Linked DNA regions of Notamacropus eugenii. The protein of the gene in region 2 interacts with the protein of the main gene of each other region in a pairwise test. Links are inferred from orthologs where the notes say so. Each region holds a gene or a part of one and is shown on either strand. Other genes may lie near its edges.

Region 1 (7,433 bases), on a different chromosome or scaffold from region 2:
TTAGCACAGTGCCTGACACATAATGGGTGCTTAATGATGCTTGATTTAGGAAGCCAGCATAGACATACACCTCAATGGAAAACCTTCAAACATACAGAGGTGCAGAATGAGGCATTCATTTTGCACATGACCAATATGAAATCATTTTGTCTGTCTGAATATTTGTTGCAAGCCTTTAACTTTTCTTTCAATTGGGGGTGGTAGGAGAGATAGGGAAGGTATGGATAGGATTCCCCCAACCAAAAAAAAAGAAGTGGAAAGAAAACAGAAGGAAAGTTATAAGGAATCGTTGATAAAATAGGACACCTTTGGAAGTTACTCGTTGAATTTATTACATACTTGAAAGAAAGGTAAGCTGTACATAATAGAAATTTACAGTTTCACGTATAAGCCCCTCCTGCTTCTATACTATAGTGTATATGAAAATGCACACTTTATTTGATGTTAGCTGTTCAAAATAAAAATAAAATTTTGTAAAAGCTTTCAATCATATCAAGCCCTCTCCCCAGTATATGAGAGTATGGGGCACAAAAGAGGGCTCCCTGGATCCCACTATACTTTTGCCTTCTTCTCTTCTCTAACAGGAGAAGTGGAGGAAATGTATGTGCCAGGAAGGCTTATTGGTCAGAACCATTCCTGCACTGGGTACTTTCCTCATGGTCTGGCCCCTAAAGGGTTAGGATGAGCCAAATTCTCTTTCCCTTCAACCCATCCCCCACCTATTAAGAAGGGAAGCAACATTATATCAGTCATACATGTAAAATCATACAAAATGTATTAGATTGATCTCTATCATGGCAACCAACCTGTGAACAATGTCCCTCTGCCAACCCTGCCTAGTTGGGTTGATTTCTGGCTATTTAGTTATCACAAGTATTCAAAAACTAAAAAAAATCAGAAAGCTTCAACCCCTTTTTGTAGGAAAGCACTAAATATCAGAGGATGTTTGTCCTCTCTCGTTGTATAGTCTACACCAGGTCCCTGCAACACACAATTCACCTCTCTGTCAAACTTAGAGTAAGTGAGAGATACCTCCTCAACTTTTGTACTTTACCTGTACTTTACATACCTCACAATTATTTTCTCAAATCATTTCCTTTCCCTCCTTCTTCATCCATCAATATAGACTTGAATTCAGCCTTTAGGAGCAAAAGGGCCCCAATGACAGCAGTTATTTTTCTGTTCCCTCCTACTTCCCTCCAGAGAGTCTGTTTTTGCAATGCCACTCACAAGCTAAGCCAGAGGGAAAGGAAACGTCTGTGCTAAGGGTCCATGCTCCTACCTGGATGAAACATAACACAGATTTCTTTTCTAAAACAAGGCAGAAGGGGAGGCAGAAGAGCAAGCATGTCAGAGGCAGGGGGCATCTCTTGCAAACCTAGAGGACATGCTGCCAATGAATACTTGTGCCCTTTCTGCAGCCTGGGAAATGTATCTGACCTGGCAGAGGGCAGCATTTCCATCTTAGCCTGAGGTGTCTTTCCCATCAGCTAGCTGTATCCACAATCTAGCTCCTAAGTGAGGGACAACAGAAGAACTAGTCTGGGTGATGGCTTGCCCTCCTCACTCCATGGCCTGAGGAAGAATCGTGGTTGGGGTGGGGCTGGGCAGACTGGCAAGGCTACACAGCTTGGAAGAAGGCAAGGGGTATAAAGATTTTGCCATGGATGGAGAGTGGAGCTGAAGGGAGTATGTTATGTACCTTCCTTTTTTCCCCTTCCTGGAAGGAATAAGAAGAAACAACTTTGGCCGTACCCAATTTCCCGGGTGATACCAATTTGGGGGAGGGGGAGTGGGTTGGAAAGGTAGAAAACTAAGGATCTCCTATTGTTGACTGATGACTTTCCCCGTTGCACAGCATACACTCCGAAGAATGGTTCCGAGAAATAAAAGGAAAGTAGCCCCTCTGACGGCTCCTTCCTAGCTGTGGCGACCCTTCCCCCTCTGCCCAGACCCGATCCCCTGACTTGGGAACGGGCCAACTACCCTTCCCTCTTCCCAAACTTCTGGCCACCAGCGTGCTGCTGCTTGCTTGGCCTTACCTGCAAGCCCTTGGTCAGTGGGCAGAAGAGAACCAGATGCACCAGACGCCGCAACCTCCTCATCCTGGCAGGGACTGAGGCGCAATGCCCGTCGGCGGGGGTAGGGAAGAGGCAACAAGAGGCCACGGAGCCCCGGGAGCTGCCCACTGCAGGCCCTAGGACCTGGATACGGGAGAGGGGCTCGGGGCACTTCGCCTCCCTTCCTCTGGCCGGACTGCTGTCTTTCTGGGTCCCCCTCGTTCTAGGGAGCCCCGCTAGGGGCGGGTGTCTTCAGCCCCGGCTGCGGCGGCCAGCCCCCAGCCGCCGGCGCCCCCGCTCCCTCTCCATCCCGGCCGCCCGCCGGGGCCGCAGCGGGCACTGAGCACGAGCTGGCGAGGCACGAGCCCACGCCGCCCCGCAGCCCGGCGCGGCGTCCCCAGCTCCCCCACGGCTGCTGCAGTGCTGCTCGCCGGTCACCGGCTCAGCCTCGCCGGCCCCCTCCCCGCCTCCGCATCCGAGCCCTTCAGCCTGCCCGCTGGCCCCTAGACCGGGCGCACGCCGCCGGCTCGGGCCGCGAGGAGCGGGGAGGGGGAGGCTGCAGCAGCAGCGGACGCCGCTCCTCTGCTGCTGCCGCCGCCGCCGCTGCTACTGCAGGGGGGATGCTCCGACTCCCCGAAGCTTCCCAGTCGCCTGAGCCGGGTGCAGCGCTCCCGTTAAAGGGGAGGGCGTTTGGCAGCTGGGACTTTTTGACTGCCGACCGAAAGGGCTAGTTAGGTTGGGATGAGGGGAGCTGGATGGAGGGAGGGGGAGGGGGCAGGGATTTGGCTGTCGGCTTCTAAACCAGGCCTCACCCTCCCTTGGGTGCCTCGTGTGCTGAGGTCTCCTCCCCCTATCCCCACAAGTTTTGGTTTTGCTGGCTGTCCTCATGAAAGACCAAATAGCCCCGACCTTTCCATAGGACACTTAGGACGTGTCAAAGGCATATGGTGTAAGCCTTAGCCTTCTTCCTTCCCAGGCTGAGGGTGGGTTTAAGGAAGTAGGGAAGTGACAAGCATTGGCATCGGATCCTCGCCCCGCCTCCCCCCCCCCCCCATCCTGTCTAGTGACTTTCCCCTCTCCTGGGCACCTTCGACCATCAGTGGGTTTGAATGGCTCCTATCATCGAAGAAAGTTACATAAATGTGAGCAATTGATAATGATATTAAAAGCTCATTACATGACACCAAAGAAAGAGCCCTGCATTTGGAGTCCAAGCACCAGAGTTCCAGGTAGGCTCTTAGGCTACCTACCCCAGCACCCTTCCTGACCAGTGTGTCTCTTCTGTCCAAGGTAAAAGGAAAACAATTTACCTTTGTATGGGGCCTTTATTTTTACAAAGTGCTCTCTCCCGGGCAGATTAATTCATTTGATCTTCACTACCATCTCCAGAGTCAGATAGTGTAAGTATTATTAGCCCCATTTTGCAGATAGGAAAACAAGAGACTCCCAAAGTTTAACTGATTTGTTCTTTTACTTAGTAAGAGCAGATTAGGGCTGAAATCTTTGCACCATATCACAAGGTTTCTGCAGAGATGAAGGACTCAGTAGGAGATACAGGGGAATCCCAGAGGCTTTTAATAGTTTGAGGCTAAGAGGAAGAGATCAAAAAAGCTTCTCTGGAAAACCCCATTCTACCCCTCCTCTCTAGGGGCCTCCCTGAAGATGAGGGTTTTTTTTCTAACTCAGTAATTGACCAAGTAGGCTGCCAGCAATGGCAAACCACTTCAGTATCTTTGCCAAGAAAACCCCAAGTGGGGTCAGACACAACTAAAATGCAGAGTCAGACACAACTGAAAGGACTAAACAACAAAGGTGCCGGGGGACCACGGGTTTATTTTTGTTCCTCTTGCCTTGCCTTATGTCTGCTGTTCAAATCTTAATGGATGTGACTCTGTCCTTGGGCTGAGTTGTACAAGAGAAACTACATCAAAGACCACAAGGTCACAATCTGGCTTCTTTTTCACTTCTCCTCCCTTTCTTGACCCTGCCGTTCCCAGAGATTTTCAGTTTCTCTGCCTTTCTGAAGGGCATCTCAATCTCTTCTTGGTCCACTTGAGTGACCAGCAAGGGCTTATGTCCTCTAGAGGTCTGGATACCATGATAATGCTGGAGGTGATAAGCAGGCTTGCTCCAACTTTATCCATCCCTTTGGTTCTAGCTTTTTTCCGAGAAAGAGATTGCTATCCCTAACTCATGACCATTAATTAAAGATGACATCCTCTCCCAAATCCCTTTGCCCAATTTTTTAAAAAATCAAGTGGTCAGAAAAATCTCAAAGATAGACACACACCAACAGACCACATTTATTGGGGGGCCAGAACGATGTTAACAGGTTCATATCAGATCAATTATTATAAAAGTCATAATTCCACAAGAAGATGAAAAATGAGAGCTGGGTAGAAATAGGAAAAAGAATCTTAAAGAAAGACAGGCTGCTTCCAGCCTTTGGGAAGACCCCTTGTAATAAAGGGGGAGGGTTCCCTAGAGGTTCTCTTTTGTTTTCAAAAGACCTCTTAGATCTGTTCTGCAAATTTGACATTCTCTGCTTCAACAATCCAGTTTTCCCAAGGGTTAAGACCCATTCCCACTGTAATAAGATATAATACAGCACCTTGTAATAAGGTGCTATAAAGCCTTTACTTTAAGATTCCCATTTAGTTCTGGAGTAGTTTTTGATTTCTTAGATCAAGGAATTTATGAGGTGAAGAATCTGGTCATTTGCTTTCTCCACCCATCCTAACTTCTATGTAATCTATTTTCTGCTGACAACAAGGTGTTTGATTCAGTAAAGGTGATACTACAAAGCTGGAGTACATGATAGAGCCCTTCCAAGTCTAGAACAAGTAAACCAGCCTGATGGGTACAACTGTATCAGTAATATGAAAAAGGTCAGGAGTATTTTTCTGCCCTCCATGGGAAGGACATGTATAGTATTTCCTAGCATGTAAATAGCATGATATACTGGGAGGTGCCTGGTACATACTAGGCACTTAATAAATGCTTGGTTGGTTGTTGTCCTTCATCTTCGAAGAGGACCAAAGTGACATCACCATGATAAAGTGAAATTTCAGTGTATCTGACTGTGGCTGATCAAACCAATATGAGCTCAGAAAGCTCTACCACAGGTTGGGCACAGATAGTCTGTGTGAATATTTGGGGTGGATATCCCAAATTTGCATATCCTGTGTTTATTTTGTGCTGTTTCAATTCTGCTTTGCTCAAAGAGCACAGTACCCTTTCTGAGGTGGGCATACCATGCTAGGTGGTCCTGTGCCAGCGTCTCCCATGTTGCATAGTCAAATCCAAAGTTCTTGAGAGAGACCTTGAGAGTGTCCTTGTATCGTTTCTTCTAGCCACTATGTGATCACTTGCCCCATTCAAATTCTTCATAAAATAGTCTTTTTGGCAAACGTACATTTTGCATTAGAGCAATGTAGCCAGCCCATCAGAGTTGCGCTCTCTGAAGCATAGTTTGAATACTTGGGGTATAGAGTGTGTTCAGGGATGAGCAGTACATTTGGTGTGATGGCTGCTGAGCCCTTTTCGGGGCTCTTTCCAACCTTTAGTGTCCACCTGCCCCACCTAACTCTCACTTGTGCCTCCAAGAAGCTGTAGCATGCACAGTGGCCACACCCTGGTAAACCATTTCAGCAAATGGGCCAAATCAGGTTGAGGGTAACCAAGGGTTCTCAAACTCATTGGTGAGTTAGGGGGGTGTCTACCCCAAGCATGTGAAGACTTCCTCTGGTGGAATGGGCAGATGAGAACAATTTGTTCCAATGGCCATGAAGGCAGCTAAAGCAGGTGATGTGGAGCGCTTAGAGCTTGTTTAGACACTGAAGACGCCAAGGTCATCCACTGCATCCTGAGCCTCTGCCAGCCATCTTGACTCTGTCCTGCCACTGGACTATGATTCACTGAATGACAAAGGTTCAAATTCTGTCTCTGCTACTTACTTATTGACCAACTGGGTGCATTACAGGACTGACCTGGAGCTAGGAAGACTCATCTTCCTGAGTTCAAATCTGGCCTCAGACACTTACTAGCTGTGTGAGCCTGGGTAACTCACTTAATCCTGTTTGCCTAGGTTTCCTCATTGGTAAAATGAACTGGAAAAGGAATGGCAAACCACTCCAGTAATTTTGCCCCCCAAAAAACCCAAACAAGACGGGTTCATGAAGAGTCAGACATGACTGAACAACAAATCTACTCAGTTGTGTGGTCTTGAGCCAATTACTTAAGCTCTCTAAGATTTGACTTCCTCTTTTATAGAAGTAAAGAGGTATGCAGGAAGGAACAGATGATCTTTAAGGCTTCTTCTGGCTCTGAATCCTATGACCATTGTGGAAGCATATTTAAAACCTTTTTAGTTTCTTTAGAAATGTTAAGTCATAATATTTTCCTCTGAAGCCTTTCTTATCCTTAGAAAAGTGATTGATAGATCCAGGACATAAAAGACTTTTCTTAGGGATATAGATTAAGAGTAATAACCAAATTTAATTCTTGTAGTGTTCACCTAAGAGCCTCCCTACCCATCTGAAGTGATTGGTGCTAGAAGCTATCCTTCTCCATTGAGAAAGAATTAATAAAGAAGGAAGGGAGAAAGTCCCTTTGTTTAACTCTAGAAATGTGGTGTTGTTGTTGAGTTTCAGTTGTATCTGACTCTTTGTGACTCCATTTGGAGTTTCCTGGGCAAAGAGACTGTAGTGGAGAGGTTTGCAATTTCCTTCTCTAGCTCATTTTACAGATGAAGAAACTGAGGCAAACAGGATTGAGTGACTTGCTCAGGGTCATAAAACTAGTCAGTGTCTGAGACCAGATTTGAATTCAGAAAGATGAGACTTCCTGACTCCATGCCTGGCACTCTATCCACTGTGTCACCTAGCAGTAGCAGGACTGTGTGGGAATAGGAACAGGATTATGACTTGATCAATTCTGGAATGTTAACCCAGACTATATTTTTAAATATCTGATCCTTGTTCAAGTTTCCTATTATTACCTGAAATCTTGGGGCAGAGTCACATGTGGAGGGACTTTGCAAGTTTGGACATTCCTTTCCCCAAACTAAAAGTGGCTTGGATATAGATTTACATGAAGTAAAATTGTTCCTGACAGATTTGAACCTGAATCACAGAGTACATTATTAATATTAATTTTTTTCTTTGACACCATCGATAGCGAACTACTGATGTGAATCACTTAGGTAGAGACTGACAAATTGTTTTTCCAATCAGGACATTGACAAGGAAAAAGAAGCAGAATTTGAAAGGGTTTCCGGACTTTTAGATGGTGGTAATATGTTTCCTTACTCTTTATAGGAACATTCTGTTTGGTTCAGGAAGCTGCTTATCTTGAACCTGGGTTCCTGGCTTA
Region 2 (7,531 bases):
AAGAAGTCTTCAAGATATAACAGTTTCCCAATCCATGGGTCATATGTAAAGTAATACATAGCGAAGCCAACAATGCTGTATCCTGGAACAGAGGATCACAGAATTTTAGTAAAAAAGAACAGGAGAAAAAGTCCATAGCACTTGTAGCCACACACTCAGAATGTTTACAGGTTTTAGAATTTTACATGCATGGATCTGAAAACTAAGCTGCTATCACAGTCAGTCTCTGCATGCAGCTATCATTATGCTAGAACAGTACGATCCATTGTTAGGCTACCCTGCTGTTCTGAGTTTGCAAGAAGCGCACATTAGAGCTGGAGGCAGGAGAAGAATTCTGACATCTCTGAATAACCGCTTTGTCTATGTGTGACCCACTCTGCAATCTCCTGGACCCCTCACAGAAACTCCAACAGTTTTAATGGCTCGAGAGCTGAGCTGCTATGACCTTTATGTAAATACAGACATTATTCCCAACCTACTGCGTTACTGGTATGTCCACTTGTGAATATAAATCGAGTTTACACGGCAGTTCAGAATATTATTAAGTACAAGGAGTTCATGAACTCTACTTCCTTGAGGTTAGAACACCATGCCAGTAGCTTCAGCTAATTCCAGAAGCTTTTTTTTTTTTTTTCCAATTTACTCTCCCCAGTTTTTCAGGGCACAAGAGGCAGATAAACAGTGCTAAGTGACCTCCTTGTACCTTGGATCAGCAAGCACTTCACACTTAATCCTCTGCCAGGTGGGTGAAAGTGCTGCCTATTTCTTCCCTTTACTTTAAGGAACAGATTTCTGGGGGAAAAAAAAACCCAACACAGAACCCCCACCAATAAAAAAAAAAAAAAACCAAACCTCCTAACCTGAAACAGCCTCCACCCCCGCCTTCCTTAGAGAGTTTCCCTTTTTATCTGAGTTTCCCATCCAGTAAACAATGAGCCAGCAACTTCAAACAGCTGACTTAACTTTTGGAATTTGCCAATAGTCCCAAAAGGCGTACTAGTCAGTGGTCAAATTAAACGTTTTAGCCACTTCACCCTGGTTTGTAAACACAGCCAGGAAGAGATCCTAATGGAATTTCTGATCTACCGTGTGTTTGGTTTGGTTTGGTTTGGTTTTTACACTGTGTGGGAAGAGGACTTGTCCCTCTAGGCCTTACCTCATTTATCATGATCATCTACTTTATTGAGTAACGGATCTTTTAGTTACCTCCCCGCCCATCCATGTACACAGAAGGGCCATGTACATGGCGAAGCTAGAGACTGTAACCTGAAGATTGGGACAAATTAAAGAAAAAATGTGATTCAACACGATTACAGAAAAAGGTTATGTTAGGGTCAAACAAGAACTATTTTATGAAACTGAATTACATCAAATGACATCATACCCAGTTTTCCGGGGAATACGTAGGGCATTTTGCTGACAAACACCTCTTTTAACTCACCCTATTTTTAGAATGGCACTACATCCACTTTTTTTGGTTTTCTAGTTTCAACATCGGATTGCTTTATTTCTGGCCACCTTTCCCAAAAGCACACTCTCAACCTTCTGCATTAGCCAACCGTTCTAAGCAAAAACTAGACATTATATCAACATCCTGTCTCTTTCTGATTCCCTACTGGGGTGGGGGTGGGGAGAAAGAAGGGCAAGAGAAAGAACAGGACAGGTGGGGCAAAGTTAGTTACCTTGGGGTGTCCAATGCTCTTTGGGCACTTCTGCCACTAGACACTGGTAGAAAGGGTGCTCTCCAAACCCATCTTCAAGCAGATCTATAAGAAAGGCCAACAGGGACAGAAAATGGCTAATGGCTATGGTGCCGGTCACCAAGGCTATTAGACAAACCTCCTTTCAAATGAGTTACCTTTTTCAGTTAGCACTACTTGTTCTTCCATTTCTTCGTATTTTGCTAGTTCCTGGTAAGAGCAGATAAAAAGGGAAAGAAGAGAGACAAAACAACACATAAGAACCCGGAGTCCTTTTATCTCCAAGAGGCAGGGTTATTGTCTCAGCACCTGCAGCGCCAGGCTCAGGGCCAAGAGCTCTGCTCAGGGAGCGGGAGAAGTCTGGGCCAAGTTCCTGGTCCACTCTAAACACGCGCAACGGACCTGAAACTAAGTGAGGGGGGAAAATGCGAACTCCCAGATTTCCGCCAGAAGGGGCAGGCAGAAAATCCAGCCGCCTGCTGGTTACCGGCGTGGGCGGAGCCGTGCACCGGCCGCACAGACCATCACCCGGGCGGTGAGCGGACAGGGCGCAGGTTCTGCTAAGTTTGTCCCTGTCCTTGTCACTCCCTTGGTCTGGATTTCCGACCCCGGACCTTAGCACGGTCCCTGCCACGCAGAATCTCTCTCTTTCTTTCCTTCTTCTCCGTCTCTCTCTTTTCCTACGGGACTCTGGCCAGCTCAGAAAGTTTCCCTGCAGGGATGAGGGGAGCCCCGGGTGTCTAGGGTCCTCTAGGTCCTCTCCCACCCTAACCCCCAAGAAGACGGCCCCAGGCGGGCTCCGCGGGCGCGGCGGCCGGGCTACCTTGATCAGCCGGAGGATGTCACTGCAGTCGGCGGCCGTGGCGGGGCGGATCACGAAATCAGCCATTTTCGTCTCTTGCTTTTCTTCCCTTTGCGGACCAAGCCCCTGTACTTGAACAGCAGGAGGAGGTGGTTCCTCATTCGTCTCCCGGGAGCTTCCTCTTCCTAGTCAGGCTGGCAGCATGACCCGGGGCCGGCGGCGGCGAACGACCAGGGGGCTCTTCCCTAGGTCCGCGGAGATCGGAGCAGGTGTGGCCCCGCCGGCCCTCGCAGCCTCTGTTTATGGGGGAGCCGGCCCCGCCTCCGAGCTCCCCTCGGCCAATGGAACGAAGCCCGGCCCCGGCGAGGGCGGGTCCGCTCGCTCCCGGTCCGGCCCGGCCGGCCCAGCTCCTCCCGCACCGCCCTTCCCGGAGCAGGTGGAGCCCTCTTTCCCGGCCGGGAGGCCCGACCCGCCCTGAGCCTTCGCGGGAGGCGATGCGGAGGCGCCGCCTGCTGTTCTTCGACGCTTAGCTATGGCTTGGATTCGAGCAGAATTTTTTTAAAAAATTAAACTTTCTTTTTATGAGGAACCCAGATTTCATTTCTTCCATCTCCCTGATCCATTGAGGAAAAACAAACCAAACCTTGTTTTCTTTTATTTGGGGCATTAACTTTTTTTTTAAATTTGAATTTCGAATTATGTTCCTCGATTCCCCCTCCTCCACCCATTGGGAAGGCAAGACATGCGATGTCGGTTAGACGTGTAAAATCACGCAAAGCTTACTTTCCACAGTAGCCATGTCGTGAAAAACCGAGAAAAACAGTGAACAAATATGCGTCCGTCTGCCCCCAGCCCTCATCGGCTCTCTCTGGACCCGGGAGTATTTCTCCCCATAAATCCTAAAACACCTTGTACCCAACATGCGTATTCAAGAAAAACAAAATTCCAGCCCTGGCTGAAAATGGTCTCGTTGTGCCCCTTGAATGTGTTCCCTCCGAGCTGGGGGACGGAGACCTTGTTTCAGCATCAGTTCTCTGGCGTCTGGTCCATCTTTGTGCTGATGAGAGTTCTTAAGGCTTTCCAAGTTGTTTGTCTCTATAACGTTGTTACTTCTGGTTCTGCTTTCTGCGTTCTATATCCTCTTCCCCTCATGGACCGCTAGAGTGAAACTTCTCTCTCGTTAGGGTGGACAGGGAGGAAGGGGAGAGAAGACAGGAAAAAGGAGACAGGCTGCTTTTGAACTGTAGGTATTTGTTTCAAAGTATAGATAGGACAGTACAATTAGAGAGAGAAGGAACGAATTACCTCCTTTTATTTGTTAGAAACACCCCTGACTCTAATAAAGTATCAAGGAAAATGTATTGCAGCAGAGTTTGGAGGAATTGAACACTTTGGCTGCCATCCTCTTTTCAGGAGGAGGAGGGAGCGTTGGATACAGCACCAGGATGAGCTGTATGCCGCTACTCGAAGACAGATCCTCCCACCAGGAGATGGATTGGTCCATCCTCCATTAGGTCACCCTCTCTCTACATTCCCATTGTGTAACGCCCCTTGGTATGATCCTCCCTCCCAAACATGCTCTAACATAGGATCCATGATCAGAAAATGGAGGGATAATTTTATGTGGGATGTCTGCTTATATGCATGAGGTTCATTAAGCAAGCGCAGTGAAGACAAGCCTTCTCTAGGCAACTCTAGGTCATTTTTCTTGTCTAGTTTCAGATAGCTGTAGATTTGGTTCCTTTATCAAAAATTTTGTCATTTTGTCTGTCTGTCTTTTGACTGGTTGAATCCACCTGCAATCTGTTGGCCTTCTTATTTTCTAACTTATTCTCAATGACTTCGTCAATTAACAATAACTCACTGTGGAAACAACTTTTACTGTCTCTCACATATTACTCTCTTACACTGTGGTATTTTGATGTCCTCTAAACTTAAGCCAGAGGGACCTACATACAACTGACACATTTGGGGCTCTAAGATTTTCTGGGACCAGTGAAAAGTAAAAGACAGTCCCAAACAGTACACTACTATAAAGAAATGTTCTTCCCCTACCTTTCTCATAGGATCATAGATCTAGAATAGCAAGAGATGAACTCAGAGCTCATTTGGTTCAATCCCTTTCCATAACAGTCATCTCATGAGAGTTTATTTCCAAAACATCACCATTTCTTGGAGAAGAAGGATGCTATAGATGAAGATTAAAGTGTAAACAATAAAAAACCGACCTGGACATCTGGAGAGTTCCTTAGACAGTGTAGGTCTAGGATGAATGTGAGATCTGTTAAGCAGTCTCACTAAATAAATGCCTTTACCTTCAGGAGAATATTGTTGAGAGGATTTATGTTTTCTGTACTTGTGTAGGCTTATGAATCTTTAGTGTTTTAAGTATTTTCTCTGGTGGAGACAATAAACCATTGTCTTTTAATTGATATTTGTACAGGGAGTAACTTTTTTGAAATGGACACTTCTACCACCTTGGGGAGACCCTATACATGAACTTTGGTTTTAGAGATTTCACTGAAGTTAATCCACATCAAAGATGAGAAAGAGAACAGAAGCCTGACCTCCCTTTCTTTTTTTAGTGTATAGGATCCCTCCCAGCATGAACCTGGTTTGTAGAAATCCAAGGCTGATGCCTTTTGTGGAAGGGGACCACCTGGGTCACTAGTCATAACAAAAAGTGGTCCTTTGCAAAACTGCACATTTCAAGAACCTTACCTAAGTCCATAGTTGGGTCTGGGTATCCAGGAACTAAATGAGCATTTGTCATCAAGGCAAATGAAAATAGGTCCATCACTGAGGTACTCTCCTGAGTACTTCCTGTGTCAATTATGTAAAGGACAATTTAGGGAGGAAAACGATCATCTGAGAAAACAATTGACCCTCCCCATCAAGATCCAACTTCAGTTTGAGAACAGCGGGAATATGAGTTTTAAGGTATATTTTAAATACTGTAGATTAGAACTGCTCAGTGAAGAAGTCAATTGCTAGCTGTCAGGACCTGCACGCCAAAACCACTCCTCTCTTTTCGCTCCTCTGTCAGGACACAGTTTTCCAGACGAAGGCCCAGCAAGCAAGCTGTGCCCTGAGCTTGGCATAGTAACAGTTCTTTGCACTTGCCCTCTGGGAGAATTGGGCTGCAGCTAAACCACAGAACTGTCTCAAACCAGCCCCAGGTGGTCCCTGAGATTGGGCAAGCACCTGCAGGAATTACATTCAGGTCATGAAGCTGCGATGAATGGACTTTTTGTTGGAGGCCAAATTGCCACATTGTTGCTGTTCTACCTCATTGTAGTGGTTACACCTCACTGCTTCCTTCTTTGTCATGCCACCTCTGTATACATCAAGGATTAGCCTCCCTGTCTTGGGCTACCTTGGTCTTAGATCAGGCCCCAGCATGCATGTCTAGTTTCCCTCCTGTGATGGAATACAGAAGGCTTTTTATCTATAACCTCTGTGAGTTCTTTGGTGTTTTGTTTAATTTTTCAGTTGACAGTTGGAGTAAAGCTTTTTTGCTGAAACCTCTGTGGGCTGTTTGAGCATTTATTTTTCAGAGCTGACAAGTTACATGCCTAGCAAAGGGATTTCTGGGTCAAAGATATGAACGTTTCAGTCATTTTCTTAGCCTGATTGTCCGTTGCTTTCCAAAATGGTTGGACAAGGACGGAGTCAAGATGGTGCAGTGAGAATCAGCATTATTGCCTAGTTATCTCAATACATCTTTTCCACAACAACCTAGAAAATGTACTAAACTGAATTCTGATCAAGAAAGTCAAGCAAAGTTACAGTGAATCGCTCCCTCCCCACCCCCTACCCCCCCAGCCAGCTTAGGAAGACAAAAAGGGGGTTCTGCTGACTCTAGGGTGAGGGTTGTCCAGAAGACTGGCATCAGCACCAGAATAAGAGGCAATCATAGTGACAGAAAGAGATCTGGGGGACCCCAGAACTAGTGCTGGGGGCAGGAAAGGCTGCCCATCTGGCAGCATTGTCACCCATTACCCAGTCCCAGGTCACAGATTCAAGGGGAAGAAGAGCAGCCTTTACTAAGCACAGGATACTAGCTGAGTGTTGTTCAGTTGTGTCCAACTGTTCTTGACCTCACTAAGGATTTTCTTGGCAAAGATACTGGAGTGGTTTGTCTTTTCCTTCTCCAACTCATTTTACAGATAAGGAAACCGAGGCACACTGAGTTAAGTGACTTGCCCAGGATCACGCAGCTAGTATCTGAAGTCAGATTTGAACTAAGGAAGATGACTCCAGGCCAAGCACTCTATCCAGTACCCCACCTACCTGCCCACTACTCTGACAGCTTGAGAACTAATGTAATCTCTCAAGAATGTTGTTATTCCTAGGAGCTGAGTTAACACTTACTCCACCTCCTCATAGAACCCTCTATCCTTCAGGATCATTTTACCTTTGTCTTGTGACCCAAATCACAGTCTTGTTTGTGGTTGGGGGCGGGGTGGGGGGGGGGGGTGCGGGTTGAGAAGGGGAGGTCTAAGCAATCAATATCAAGGTGATGTCAAAAGATTTTGCTTTCCAGCTAATCAGGAGAAGGAACACCTATGCTCTGTGGTCTTGTTTATCACCATAGAAGACTGGGTCAGCCCTTCCTCAGCGTCTTTGACTGCTGAAGAGTCATCGCCCAATTTATTGGCTACTGCTAGTCTAGCTAATAAATTGATCTTGCTCAGATAATTTGCTGCCTCTATCAAGACAGCACACATTAACCACAAAAACGATTTCAACAGATATAGAAGAAAGCTTTTGACAAAATACAATCCCCATTCCTGCTAAAAGTGCTAGAAAGCACAAGAATAAATGGAGCTTTCCTTAAAATGTTAAGTAGTATCTATCTAAAACCAAGAGCTGCCCAGTTTTTCTTGACTTCCTTGTAGGTTTTCTTTTGTACACTACTATGTAGTTTTTGCTTTTTTTAAACCCTTTCTCCTCTCCCCCCAAAGAAGGATACAATTGATTAAGGATATATGTACATATACATAGATATCTATAAAGATACACATAT
Region 3 (7,466 bases), on a different chromosome or scaffold from region 2:
ATTAGTCTGGAATGACATGTTTTTGAAGAAACCACACTGACTTTTTGAGATTACTTCTCCCTTATTGAGAAATCATCCATCCTTCTTAACATGTTCTAGAATTGTATCAGGAATCAAATTTAAACTCATGGGCTTATAACTTGCAGAGTTCATTCCCTTCCCCGCTCTGGACAATCAGAATGTCCTACGAGCCCCTTACTAAAGGCACCTCAAACTTAACATGTCCAAATTCATTTTTCCCTCCCAAACTCAATCCTATTCCAAAGACATGATCACCTTTCCAGTCATCTGAGTTCAAAACCTTGGTGTCACCATCACCTCTCCATTCTTATTCACCTCATATGTCTGGTCAGTTATTCACTGTTTTTTCTACTGCTAAAATATTTTCCCCCTTTTCAACACTCATACAGACATCACCCAGTTTAGACCCTCATCACCTCTTGCCTCGATTATTCTAACAGCCTCTAGATTACTCTTGACTCCAAACCATCCTTCACTCTGCTGATCAAAAGAGATATTTGTAAATCACTTGGCACATAGCAAGGTGCTTAATAAATATCTCTGCCCTTCTCTCCTACAAAGCCTAGGTCCAATAATCTCTGCTGCTGGCTGCTGAGTCCACTACAAATTAGTAAAATAATTTCAACTGGAATCCCACTGAAGCAAGGCAATTCTTTTATCTCCCTAGTTGAGTCACTATCCCAATCATAAAAGGAGCTTTCCCAAACATTTTCATCAGTCTGCAGGCCCCACCTTTTGGGCTGAAAATTTAATGTTTCACTGAACCTTCTTCCTTTCTTAGTCCAGGGCCTAAGGTTCTAGCCCTAGGAGTCATCTTAGATTCTTCAGTCTCATTTCCCTCCACCTCTCTCCATAGTCAATCTGTTGTCAAGCCCTGTCCAGCATCTCTGGAATAGGCCTCCTTTGCTCCTGACACTGACACCCTCCTCTCCTCACACCTGGACTATTGCAATAGCCTGCGGTTAGGTTCCTGGACTCATGTCTTTCCTCACATTTCAATCTACCCTCTACTCAGCTGTCAAAGTGATCTTCCTAAAGTACAGGCCTGGCTATGTTACCTCCCTATTCACCTCAATTCAGTGGCTCCCTACTACCATCAGGATAAAACATAAAATCCTTTGTTTGTGGTTTTTAAAGCCCTTCATAACCTTGCCCCTTCCTACCTTTCCTGTCTTCTTATATCTTACTAGCCACCTTGAGCCTGCCCTCCCCCCAAATAACCTAGTGAAGTGACACTGGCTTCCTTGCTGGTTCTCAAACAAGACCCTCCATGTTTCTGTATTCCTAACTCACGTTACTGTCCCTGAAATAGTAGGCTTCTTAAATCTTGTAGAACTCCAGAATCCTCCTGGAACTGTAAGATATCACCCCAGAGTGGCTGCTAAGCAAGAACATCAGTCCATTCTTTCAGTACTCTGAAAGCAATTGTTTGGAGTCCTGTAACTCAAAATCCTCAAAGTGAGCTAACTGTTCTGCAACTTTTTTCCTATTTATCTCTGCTCGATCATCTCCCTATTGGCCATTTTTGTGTTTTCCTTTCCAATCCAAAGATCATTTTCCTTAGTAGAGAAAGCAAAAAAAATAAAGAGTCTGGTAGCTCTCCTTTCTGTGGGTGGCCATCGTTTCATTTACTGAGCACCAGGCACTTCTTTGAACCTCTTTCCCCCCCAAATCTTGTAAGCTCCACCAACCCTCCCATAGTTCTCTGCACATACAGTAAGTCTCTCCTTTCCTTCTCATCAGAAGTATTTCTTGGGGTTTTCACAATTCATTCTTTCTTGCTTCTTATGGCTCCTAGGCAGGCTTTCCAGGTAAAATTTGAGTCTGTGGCACCCTATCCATGCTTTGTCAGAAAACTTTGAAACCGACTCTCCCAAAACAAGTCCACTAGGCCCGGCTTTCCTGGCCTAATCTATCATAAACGCTAAAATGGGGTGGCCACTTTGTCTAAGATTCCCCTCATTTCCCCCCAGCACCCAATCCTTTTCACTAGTGGCTTCGTTTTCTGAAGCACGAAATGAGGCCTTTGGGCTAACCCCACCAATTCCACAACGGCCTCTTCACCGGGCTGTGAGCTGCTTCTAAAAAGAAGGGTCTGAAAGGGGGAAAGGGGGAGGGAGGAGGAAGAGGGGATGGAAAGGAGGGGGGGAGCTGCAACAAGTGGGACTGAGGGGGGTGGCAGAAAGGAAGGGGGGGAGCAGGGGGAGGGCAGGAAAGGGGTGGGAGGGGGAGAAAGAAGGGACGGAGGGAGTAAGAGTGGGCAGCAGGCAGGGGCCAAGGGAGGAGGGGGGGGCATGGAGAGCGAGGGAGGGGCTGGGGGGTAGGAAGAGGGGATTCCAGAAAGAAACTAAAAGCAGGAGACTCCTCGCTCTTCGAAGGAAGGGGAGGGGAGCGGCGGGAAGGGGAAGCGGGCAGGGGGTGAAAGCAGGAAGGGGTGGGGGGTAAGCCGCCAAGAGCGGAGCGCCCCTTACCCTTGGAAGGAAGGGGATCAGAGAGGGCCGGGAGCAGGGCCCAGCAAAGACCTGGAGGGAGACGACAGGTGTCTGGGCCCCAGGCGGGCCGGCCAGTCTCCCTCGGCCCCTCCGCAGCGCGGCCTAGAGCCGGCCCGACCCCGGGGCCGGGGGCCGGCGTTCCCGCTCGGACCAGGCCTGCATGGGCCTCGGGGAAGAGCGGAGGGGGCCGGTCGGGGAGCCTGTGCGCGGGGCGGGGGGCCGGAGGGGGTTACTCACCCGGGGGGCCCGGCTGACTTTCCCCATGGGCCGGAGCGGCAGCGGCAGCGGGGCAGGAGGTGGCTGGGGCAGCCGAGCCGAAGTGCGCAAGCTCCGCAGCTCCACCAACCGCGTAAGGGCAGAGCGGCCCCGGAAGCCAGGCGGGAGGATTTTTTAACGCGAACGGCGTAAGCGTCAGGAGACGCCACGGCCGCGGTCCGTACGAATCCCTGCGCCAAATGCGTGGAGGAAGCGGCGGCTCGCGGTCGGTAGCGGGGAGAGCGCGCGTCAGGGCTAGGCGGGAGGAGCAGGCGTCTGCTTGTGGGGCGACATCTATCGGTGGGAGGCCAGGAGCACGCCTCACTCTCGCCTCTTTCCCATCCTCGCCCTAGGTTCTGAGCTTTGGGGAAGGACCCTCGGGCGAGCTCTGCCCCCAGTTGCGCAGGTGAGCGTTCAACAGGCCATCCCATCCCAGAGGTAAAACTTGACAGCACCTGGCCCCTTTCCTGCTACCCTCCCTCTGGCCTCGGTCCTTCTTTCTCTGATGGCTTTGGGCTAAAGTCGTTCAACACCCCCATTTCCCAGATGAGGAAACTTGCCTAGGATCCCAACACCTAGTAAGTGTCTGAGGCAGGATTCGAACTTTGGTCCTGATGACTCATTTGAGGAGGATGGTGCTGATTTCCAGCCTGAAGGGAAGAAAAGTAACCCCCACTGCCAGTCACTGGTCGTGCCCACGTCTTTTCTGTTTCTACAAACAACAGCTTTTTGGGGACCACAGCTTTTGGTCTCAGGTTTTCCTTTAATTGTTTAGGTTGCTGCGATAGCCGCTTCATATTTTTCCTTCCATTTGGCTGCCTTCTTTTCTGGAGGTGGCTTATTCTCTGCAGCAAAATCAGGCCACGTTTCAGTTTCTTTTTGCAGATGTGCCGCAGGAGGGAGAAATTGTGCTGCGGGATCAACCTCCAGGCAGCAGGGGGCGCCGTGTGAGCGAGGCGGAGAGGAGACAGTCTAGCTCCACGAGTGGGGGCGGAGCCTCGGCTCCTCCAGCCTCTACCTCCCCCTTCTAAGGGGCGGGGCCTCCCCAACCTGTCCTTCTTCTGGCTGTCCTGCCATTAACTCCTGTTTCCCAGTGTAGTTTTCTTTTATGGTTTCTTGAAATAAAGCCCTGGAAAGCCAGGCTTGAATAAAGTCCATTGGGGATCAGCTGGAGCCAGCTGACCACATCCCTCTGGCTCTCACTGATTGGCCAATAACAGGTCCCCGCCCACGCCTCTAGGTCATTGTTTGGGCTCTGATGGCTCAGAGCATGGCCAAGGCTTATGCTATGGTCTTCCCCTCCTTTTGGGAAGGCAAGCTAGGCCATCTTCGGCCTCAATTCTTACCTCGCCTTTCATTCCTGATCCGGCATTGCCTCAGACCAAGTGAGACCTGGGAAGGACCCAGAAAGGCCAAGGTCCCCCCTTGCGCCCTGGGCCAGCCCAGCCTGTGTCCTGCCAACGGTACCTCCGAGGGGACAGTGAGGCCCTCACCTCAATCCAGGTCACGCCCCGCTCCTGATATCCCTGGTCCTCTTCAAGAACCCAGGACGAACAACAACTCACTCACGCCTTGCAGTAACAGTACTAGTTCGAGCTGGCTTATAAGTTCACAGAATTCTTGTGAGACAGGTAGCACAAATAGGAGTCTTCTTTGTACAGGTGAGGACCCCGAGCCCTAAGAGGGGACTGGTAAGTGTTCCGAGCTCTGCACTTTGTAGGCAATCCAGGCTCTGGAAATCGACAAGATGTGCGCTCGCTGTGGGCCGGGCGCTGCGGTGAAGGCTGGAGATGACGAACCAAGGCGAGAACAGCCCTCGGCTCCCGGAGCTCCTAGTCCGGGTAACTCACCAGGCAGACCATCCGAGAGCAGAAGGCGCTAGGGACTGGAGAGACCAGCGAGGACCAGCCTTCTGGAAGAGGCCGGGAAAGCTGAGGTCAAGCAAAGAGAGAAAGTGTTTCAGGCTAGTGGAAAGTCATCAGGAGAAGGAGTGGTCTGTTCAGGAACAAGTAGGATGGAGGGGAATAAAGTTTAAAAAGGATAGAAAAGCAGGAAGGGGTCAGTTTAGGAAAAAGCTTTAATGACTAGACAGGAGGATTTTGTATTTAATCTAGGGGGCAGTAGAGATCCACTGGAATTTTTTGAGTAGAAAAAAAGCATCTTGGCAACTAAGTGGAAGATGAATTGAAGGAGGGATCACAGACTCCAGTTAAACATCCAGTTAGAAAACATCCTGTTAAGTGATGTTCAAAAGACAGATGGTGTCTGTTCAAAAAGAAACCAAGTGTCCGGTCCTAGTTTTTCTCAGGAGGAGGGAAAGGGGAACTCTTGGCAAATGGTCTCAAATTTTTCAGTGACAGTAAAAGATAGGATAGTCAGCTTGGAGGGTGGAGTTAAGGGTGGGGCAGAGAGGGTACCATGGAAGACTGCAGGAAAGATGAAAAGGTCTGGAACAGCTGCTTTGATAGTGAGATAGTAACTTGGTAAGGAGTAGAAAAATGGTTTTTCTGTATTGAAAAGGAACTATTATCCCCTAAGGTCAGCCCCTAGGCATAGTCTGTTGGGGCAAAACAGAAAAGGATTCCCCTGCTTGCCTGCTTGCTCCCTCTCCCCCTCCCTCAACTTTTCCCAAAGAATGGAAGTTCCATAAGGGCTGCTTATTAAATTTCTGCAGTTGAACATACCTGAGTTAGGTAATAGGGATACGTGGACAAAAACAAAAAACCAAAAACCGAAACAGTTTGTGCCTTTCAACAGCTGGGGGATGGGGTAGGAGCACAAAAGAGTATACTACAGATAAATGAATATACAAAAAACCCCAAAGTGACCTCAAGGTGGAGGGATACTAACAATTGGAAGAATCAGGAAAGGCCTCTTCTTGTAAAAAGTGGCTTTTGAGTGGAGTCTGAAGGAAGAAGAGGGACAGACTTAAGGGGATGGGATGGGGTGGTGGTGGGGGAAGTCTTTGCAAAGGCACAGAAGCAGCAGTCGGAACATCCTATTACACAGAATCTGTGAAGGGGAATAAGATGGAATCAGCCTGGAAAGACAAGTTTGAGCCAGATTTTGAAGGGCCTCACTTGCTGGACAGAGGCGTTTGTTTTCTTATCCTCCTAGGGACAGTAGGGAGCCACCCGAGCTTCTTCAGCCTGAACTGAGCCCAGACCTGAGTAGGTCTGGGATTTAAGAATATCAGTTTCTCAGCTAAGTGGAGGATGGATTGGATCAGTAAGAAACTGAAGGGCAAGAAACCAGTGAAGAGGCTATTTATTGTCAGCCAAGGCTAGAGGTGATGAGGCTTGAACTTGGGTGGTTGTTGTATGAACAGAAATAGTAATAGAATGCAGAGATATGCACCAATAGGAAATCACACCTGTACAAAACTTAGGTGAAAACTAGGTTTATTACAAAAGGAATGTGGAAATGAATGTGAAGCAAAAAGTTCACAATTATTACAGAAGTTTTCGTTTTTATAATTGTAGGACAGAGGGAGGAGGGGATGCCAGAAAAGAGTGTGACATGGGAAAGGGACCCATGCAGCAAGGCGGGGGAGGAGCAGGCCAAGGCAAAAGCCACATTCTTTTCCCTTGGGAATTGCTAGACTACGAAAGACAGGAGGGTCTGCTTATCTGCAAAGGACCCTGGCTGCACAAACATTGTCCTAGCCTGGCACAGACTTGCTGGCACCTGTTTTGCCTCTCAAGGACACACAGGGAGTCCAGCTTGGGAGTGCAATGACAAATTATGTCAGCTTCATCCTTGACACGTTTAGGGTTTCCTGCATGCTCTGGGTTCATTGTTTCTGGAAAATATGGCAACTCAAAAAGACAAGTTCAGGGGACCCCTTAACATCCCTTAACATGTGGTAGAGGCAGACTCAGTAAGACCTTTCCATGAATTGGAGATAGGGAGGGAGAGTGGGAGAGTAGTTGTGAACCTGGGTGACTGACCTCCCTTGGTGTCCTTTAAATAACTAACTTACTGCTTCTCTGGACTCTGGGCATTTTCATTGGCTATCTCACATGCCTGGGGTTCTCTAACTACTGCCTTCTTCAGCTTCCTTCAGGTCCTTGCTAAATCTCCCCTTCTGGAAGAAGTCTTTCATTATGTTCCATAATCTGTTATCAGTTTATCTTGTTCATATCTTTTTTTTACCTGGCTGTTTACATGTTGTCTTTTCCACTAGACTAAGAACCTGAAAAGGAAGAACTGTCTTTTGCCTTACTTTGTATCCCCAATGCTTAGTAAAGTACCTAGAATATAGTAGGTACTTAATAAATGTTTACTGACCCACTGGTTGTAGTGCCTTTAGTAGAAATTAGGAGAGGGGTTGATTGGGAAAAGGTTAATGGTTTCTGTTTTGGACATGTTGGGTTTGGGATGACTATGAGATATGCACAAGATGATGTCTAGCAGACATTTGGTAATTCCAGCCTAGGGGTCAAAAGAGATGAGGGCTATATGTATAGATTTGGAAATCATCTGCAGAGAGAGATGATGGGTAAATCTGTGGTAGCTAATTAGATCGTCAAGAGTCCCACTGTCAACATATATATATTAATGCTAGGCACTGAAGAAAGGCAAAAAAAAAAAAAGGTCCCTGCCCTCAAGGAGTGCACATTCTAATTATCAAAAGAGATGGTAGAGAGAGAAAAGAAGGCCTCGGTCAGTGTCCTCACCCATAGAGGGGGTGGCTTG
Region 4 (7,048 bases), about 240 Mb from region 2:
CTTTAAGGGCCATTTCTATTTTCTTGGATAAAGATCTGGGACCAAGGTATTGGGGATTACATGTGGTGGTTCCTCTTGTACTACAGATAAAAATGGAAAAAAGAAAAAACACAAAGAGTGCTAAAGGAAACTGTCAGGAGGACAACAAACAGGTTATACTTTTGCAGGAAATGATGATAGTCAAGATTCGTACCTTTGCCTTTTTCTTTTCCATTTTTTGGCACTAATAGCTTGTTTGATTTTGTCAGGTCAAAATAAGTGCAATTGCACTCTTATTTTAGCAAAAAAGTGGTATACCAAAGAATAATTATCTAATACAAATGCACCCTTACTTTTGGAGAGGGAAATGGCAAACCATTCCAGTGTCTTTGCCAAGAAAACCCCAAATAGGGTCATGAAGAGTCAGACTTGATTGACTTGATTGACAATAAGCCCCTACTTTACAAAGTAGCTGCACTCTTGAAAAGTTGAGCATAAACTGAACTTTTGTAAAGTTAATATTATTTTAAAATATATCAGCCCAGTATAATCTAAAAGGATCCCCGAAGTGAAGTTGTGAGCATGGCAAAGAATTATATTGTAATCCAAACTATTACTAATTTATCTGTTAAATAAGCCTAATTGAAACAAACAATGTTAGTTTTTCTTTAAGTGGGGCAGTAGCTAGAGTTCTGTAGGTTTATCAAAGAGAACCATTTTTACCATAGTTATAGTAAAATAAATGTATATTGAGCTGTAGCATATTACAGAATTAAATTAGTTATATTTTATTCAATTTTAATTATTACAAACAGCATATGCAATATAAAATCCTAATGAAATTCATCATTTTGGAAAAGTATATAATTCTACAATGAAAATAATTTGTTTTTGTTTCTTCTGCTTCCCATTCAGCCCCAGAAATGGAGAAAATGAAATCATTGCTGCTCTATCTGCATTAATAAAAATACCTTGCATTCATAAGCTGTTACAATCAAACCTTATATAGCACTGGCATGTCGTATGCTCATCAATGTATTACTTTTCCTGTGGGTTCATTTATAAAGTTTGAATTTTACTTATTCTGTCTTTCAACAGAAGCATGGTTAGTTATCCCTTTCCAAAGCAGGCAGACCAAATTCCCATGATGGTAAGGCAAGAAAACACTGAACCCACTGACTTGTTGCTCCCTACCCAGCACTGGATACGTACAAGTCACTCCACAAACAATTGTACAAATGTTCACTTGCCATCTGGGATTGTCTGACCCTGAACAAAGATGTCAACTAGGTTTGGATTTTATCACACATATTACGGAGCCTGAAAACACAGTCACCCTATTAATGAGCTAATGCATAATATTTATGATTAGACCAGGGACACTACTGTATAATGCTTCCAAACTTTTTTTTAAAAAATCTAATAGCAAAACACATTATCTAATTTAAGATTCATAACAGAAGCAAGAGACTTTCCTCTCTCAATGAAATATTTCTAAATACTTCAAATTTCTAGATATTCCAAAAACACAATCATTTTTCACAAAATTGTCTTTAAAACAGCAGGTTCTTTAATAAAAATGTAACCTGGATATTGATAGCTTAAAAAAACCTTTTATCTTTAATAAAATAAATATCATTAGAAAACTAATGGTTATATTCCATTGCAATAATATAATAATTATTTCCTGTGAAATTCATTAGTTGTCCTTGCTTTAACTGGGTCCATTTTCCTTTTTTTAGACTTAGAAAAATAACATTTATTTCCATTTTACAGATTGGGAAACAGGAACAGGGTGACTATGTCATAAAGCAAAGCAGTAAGGGAGGCAGGATTAAAACCTAAGATGCACATGCTCACTCCAGTTACCTGAAACCAGGTTCACACTTAAGTTTAAGGAATATTAAACTCCCTAAAAATTGTTGACCAGAATTTTGATTCCATCCTCTCTCCCCTTGATTATGATACAAATATGAAAAAGCATGAGGCATTAAAGTTGCACATTATACCTTTACCCAGAAGCCAATCTCCTACTTACTATAGATATTGTCTGTCAAACTTGGATTGTTTTGTTGCTCTATTATGGGCAGAAGCTTAATAAATTCCATTTGATACTAAAGGAGAGATGAGAAGTTGTGGGCTAGGTTAAAATGTGTTTTAAATTCCAGTCCTTATTGTACTCACTGTAAAATGTAACTCACCACACTGACTTTTTCCTTGCCATTTTTGTTTTCCTTTAAAGGAAAAATACTCCTGAAAAATATCTCCCGGTTGGGGCCTGAATTTCAAACATCGACTTTGAAGTGAGATCTTCAGGGGGTGAGATAAATATGCAGAAAAGGAATTCCTGAGTAACACAAGATTCAGGGGATTTTGCATATGGGGGAAGAGGGAAGGATGGGAAAACAGACTCACCCGCATTAGCTGATGCTGCATTTAGGTCAAAGGGCGTAGTTTCAGGGGCCCGTTTCCCAAACCAAGGACAAGTGCATGCAGTACTTGTTTCTGAGGTCACCTTCAGGGACAGGTAAATTATATGGGTTTGGGGGTGGGGTAGGGTGTCTTCGGTACCACGGACAAGGCCTGTCAAGGGGGAAGCAAGAAATCAGGGGAAGAAAGGGAAGGGAAGGCCCACCCAATCCACGTCTAAGATACGGAATGAGGGAATCCCCCCGGCTCAAATCCTCCCACTCCTCCTCCTACCCGGGTGGTTCTAGGCAAATCACTGGGACCTTCCGGGCTCTCAGTTTTCTCAAAAGTAAAATGAAGGGGCTGGACTAGGTGGCCCCCGAAGTCCTTTTTGGATCTAGATCTAGGATACTCTGGCTCCTCGTAACCCACCCCCAGGGTCCCCACCCCCGAAGCCGGACACCTTCGTTCTCCCCACCCTCTCCACCTTTTCTAGCCGCTCTCGCTCTTAACAGCATCGGTCTCTATGGCGACCTGAAACCCCGAATTCCATTGGCCCGTTCAATATGAGGGCCGGGCCAATAGGGTGGGACAGCCTTTTCCTGCCGTCCAATGAAAGCGGGTGCGGAGCAGGTCGGGGGACGGCGGCGTGCTGACGTTCCCGGGAGCCCTAGGCTGGCTGGCTGGCTGACTGACTGACTGACTGGGCGGTGGGGGCTGCTTGGCGGAGCTCGGCAGCACCCAGGCACCGGGGCTGATTCCGTGCTGTCGCCGAGGAAGGTGGCACCATGGGCACCGGGTAGAGGGGGAAGTTGGCCGCCGCCGCCGCCTCCCGGGGGTGGGGTGGGAGAAGTGTTGCAGGGGAGGGGGCGGGCGGGCGGGAGGGGGTTCAGCGGGGGGGTTCGGGGGAAGGGGAGGGAAGCTCCCTTGGCCCTGGCACTTTTTTTTTGGGTGCCGCAGCCGCGACCCCTCCGCGCGGATGTCCCCGATTCCCGGAGCGTCGGCAGCCGCTTCCTAACCTGGAAAGTAAGTGTGCGGCAGGCGGGGAGGGCGCCGAACCTTATCCCCACCCCCCACTCCGTGGCCCTTCACTTCCCGACTCCTGGTACTGTTCCCTCGGCTCACCCCGCAAACCTCGGGATCGGGGCGAGGGTGGGGGAGGGTGTGGGAAGGGGAGACTCCCGTTACAACCGCCCCCACCCACCTACTTCTCTCCTTTCCTGCCCCGCCTCGTGTTCCTGCCTGCACTCGCCTTCTCCCCTCCCCCCCACCCCCCAAGGCACTGAAGTTTCCACCTCCATTTGCTTTTCCCAGGATTTTTCCCCCTTCCCTTCTGCTTACCTCTCTACCTTCCTGGACTGTGTATATATTTATACTCTCCGGTCTCTCCCTGGTCTGTGGCTTTCAGATTCCGCCCTTCCCCACCAACCTCCTCTCCCTCCTCCTCCCCTCCGACTAATCCTTCCCTGCAAATCTGCCCTTGCTCCTTTCCCTCTCCTGTCCCTTCTGGCTTTATGCCCCGTACTTTGGCTTCTTCTTCCTCTTCCCCATACCCTCTTTCATTCTGCCCTCACCTTCGTTTCTCTTCCCCACTCCCCCACTCCTTCTTCTCTAGTAAAACCTCCTGTTCATCTGATTTGCCCTAAATTCTCCATCTCCTACAAGCCTTTAAACCCCTGTCCTCTTCCCACCAGTCTTAACTGAATTCTGGAGAACTGGTTAGATCTTCCACTTTGCTTTGCGCTTTTCCTTTCTTTGAACACCTCTTCTCCGCCTCCCCTACCCCAATTCCAGCGTGGAGGTCTGTCTTGCACCCCTCACCCCTTCTTGGTCATCTTCCACACACCCTTATTCTCTCCGTGAGTGTTGCTTTAGCCCCTTTCCCCCTGATCCGCACTCCTGCATGTACTCCTCAGTTCACTTCTCTACCAGTCTTCTTTTGCCTCCTGCACATCTTTTCTCCCCCGATCCCCCAGGCTCCCCAACATGTTACGCGCAGGAGTTGAAATAACGTTTCCTCGGCCGTTGGGCGGCTGTCTCGGAGCAGCTTTTTGCCACTAGCCTCCTTTGCCCGGGCAGGGAGGGGGATTTGGCTCGGATTTAGCTGCGTGTTGGCGGAGTGCGACAAGCCGCCGAGTGCGGCTCTGAAACCGTGGTTGTAGCCGCTTAGGGCTGATGAATAGGCAGGTGTGTGTGTGCCTGGAGGAGACGCGCGCTGTTTGTTCCTCGGGCGGTAGATTGTGTAGGAATGTGAGGAATGCTTTGGGGGCAGAGTATGCACACCCTGCCGCTGCCGCCGCTCCCTGCTCAGCTCTCTCCATTAGCCAGAGGTCACTGGAGCATCTTCTCGGGAGCTGGTGAGGCTCTTACTTTTCTCCGCCTCCTTCCCTCTCTCCTTGCGGCAGAGCGGGCACTGGGGAAGTGTGACAAGCAGATCTGCCTGCCGTCAGCCTGGCAGGCAGTATTCGTGCTTCGGCTCGGTTTTGCGGCATTTTTCTTCAGGAGGATGAATTGGGGGGAGGGGGAAAAAGACTCCCACTTAACAAGGTCATTGGTCGTTGAATCTTCTCAAGTTTGGTTTGCAGTGTTTCATGAGTGTCTGATTTTTGTGTGCCACTGGGTTCTCAGAGAAGCAGAAGGTGGATGTTTTTAGGATGGTGCTGTTGCAAACAACATGGTTAGCCGTTTTAATAATGTCTGTTAGTGCTTGTGAAGGGAGACATAATCTGAAGATTTGTGGACCTCAGATGTCATGAGATTTGTAATTTTTGATCCTGCCATGCTGCTTTAGAATCCCATATAATGCATAATGAATAGAAACAGAGAGGCAGTGTTTGACCAGAGATGGGACAGATAGAACTGTCTGGTACAGTTAAATTAGGGGCTTGTCAATTACCTTTTGAAATAGCAGAGAAATACAATGAGATATAACAATCACAGACATGTCTATTCCAAGATTTATATTTATTAAGAAAGGTCATGTTTCTGGTTTTGTAATTATCCCAGTCCTTTTAGGAGAAGGGGAAGAGGAAAAGAGAATAACTTTTAAGCATGGTGGCTCAATTGAATAAAATGAAAAATTATTGGTATGTTTTTTAAGTGAAAAGTTGATTTTTTTTCTTAACATGAAGGAAACAAGTTGAAGAATGCTTTTGATATATTTTTAAAGAGAGGAGAATTTTTTCGTTTGCAATATTTTACATTCTCTTTCATTTGGCTATGTGACTTGTCTTTTTGGTGACACTTTTAGTAACAAGGTCACAGATGATTTTGTACAAGTACATTAAACAAAATTTGTTGGAAGCTTTCCTTTCTGGTGTTGTAGAGAAACCTTAATGGAAACAAACAAAATTATTGTCTGGGGGGAAGGAACGAAAAGTAAAAGTGATTATGTATGTTGCTTTGAGAGACCTACTGTGTGTGCTTTATATGGGACACATTTTGCTTTTGAGAATGTTATCTATAAACTCCTCCGAAAATTTTGGATCAGACTCAGGAAAATGATAAATTTATTTGCCAAATTAAGATATTTTTCTGTGATCACTTGGCTTGTATTGAGCCATGAAGAGTATAGCATGAAACTTTTGTATGAAAACTGGACAAGGCAAAATAGAAAACAAAAACTTAGAGAAAATTACACCTTACCACTGAAGCTTTCTTATACCTATGTTTACAGTTGATGAACATTCTAAATTAAGGGTCTGCTTGATATCTATCATTGTAAAGGACATAGATTTTTGTAATTGTAGCAGCAAACTTTTATTATGTAACATTTTAGAACCAGTGACAGTACAAGGTAAATTATATTGTTATTTGATTTGAAATTCATTCTAAAGGATAGAGAACAGGTTGTTTCCTTGCTGTATTCTCTGTTGCAAATTGAAATAGCTATATATATACTGTATACATGTTTTAGGTAGATGGTTTTAACTGCTTGAGAGACCTTTCTGTATTCAATCATGCATTCTAAAGTTTTGATTCTGTTTATAGAAATTGCTCCATTATGTTTGATTCACAAGAGCAGGGGTTCTTCACCAAAGCCTAGTCTCAAGAGTAATGTTTTTAAATGCATAGAGTAAACATAGGATCACATAGGAAACAATTGTATTGCTATAATGATGTAATTTTATTTTCCCATCCAAGTTTTGGGACCCCCTGAAATCTGTCCGTGGTGTGCAGTATTAAATTCTGTAGTATTGAGGAAGGTACTGTGACCTTATGACCAGAGATGATAGAAAATAATATAACTTGTGATTTAATTCAAAATACAAAATGCTTTTTCACTATATTCTAAGATAGTTTTGTAGGTCATACTACAAAATCCAAACTGCAGAAACTGCCCTATAATCTCATTCATATTTTCTTGTAAAAAGGTGATAAAGATGTTAGTGCTACATTTGGATTTTAAGAGAAAATTTAAACAATCATATGATCGTAAATATTATATTAGCATTTGCATTTCATCTGGAATATACCAATCAGTTGATGAAATAACATTTGGGGAATTTTATAAAATCTAGGGTATGTGTTATAATCTGCAAATAATATCTCTGTTCCTCAGGTTGTTTATTTCTGTTATAGAATTAATGCCTGTATCCCTCCCTTTAAAGATGAATGAAAGGTTTATTCAAGATTCTTCCAGTGCATAAACTACCCATGG

The links.
Region 1: the proteins of SAT1 (region 2) and DIPK1B interact in binary tests that used the Homo sapiens proteins (3 or more experiments, as listed by UniProt). The two-hybrid records come from large-scale screens. The link is inferred for Notamacropus eugenii from reciprocal best matches to the Homo sapiens genes SAT1 and DIPK1B.
Region 3: the proteins of SAT1 (region 2) and RBM17 interact in binary tests that used the Homo sapiens proteins (3 or more experiments, as listed by UniProt). The two-hybrid records come from large-scale screens. The link is inferred for Notamacropus eugenii from reciprocal best matches to the Homo sapiens genes SAT1 and RBM17.
Region 4: the proteins of SAT1 (region 2) and CCDC148 interact in binary tests that used the Homo sapiens proteins (3 or more experiments, as listed by UniProt). The two-hybrid records come from large-scale screens. The link is inferred for Notamacropus eugenii from reciprocal best matches to the Homo sapiens genes SAT1 and CCDC148.

The regions. Positions count from the first base shown.
Region 1 is NC_092872.1:489,126,437-489,133,869, forward strand, and holds the start of DIPK1B (divergent protein kinase domain 1B), read right to left. Parts: upstream 3,020-7,433; 5' UTR 2,106-3,019; coding exon 2,043-2,105; intron 1-2,042.
Region 2 is NC_092876.1:453,304,847-453,312,377, forward strand, and holds the start of SAT1 (diamine acetyltransferase 1), read right to left. Parts: upstream 3,007-7,531; 5' UTR 2,590-3,006; coding exon 2,524-2,589; intron 1,911-2,523; coding exon 1,859-1,910; intron 1,767-1,858; coding exon 1,683-1,766; intron 83-1,682; coding exon 1-82. UniProt on the Homo sapiens protein: Enzyme which catalyzes the acetylation of polyamines. Substrate specificity: norspermidine = spermidine >> spermine > N(1)-acetylspermine. This highly regulated enzyme allows a fine attenuation of the intracellular concentration of polyamines.
Region 3 is NC_092874.1:178,123,487-178,130,952, forward strand, and holds the start of RBM17 (splicing factor 45), read right to left. Parts: upstream 3,013-7,466; 5' UTR 2,751-3,012; intron 1-2,750. UniProt on the Homo sapiens protein: Splice factor that binds to the single-stranded 3'AG at the exon/intron border and promotes its utilization in the second catalytic step. Involved in the regulation of alternative splicing and the utilization of cryptic splice sites.
Region 4 is NC_092876.1:217,434,213-217,441,260, forward strand, and holds the start of CCDC148 (coiled-coil domain-containing protein 148), read right to left. Parts: upstream 3,022-7,048; 5' UTR 2,876-3,021; exon of another isoform or gene 2,852-2,875; intron 2,827-2,851; exon of another isoform or gene 2,683-2,826; intron 2,563-2,682; 5' UTR 2,395-2,562; intron 1-2,394.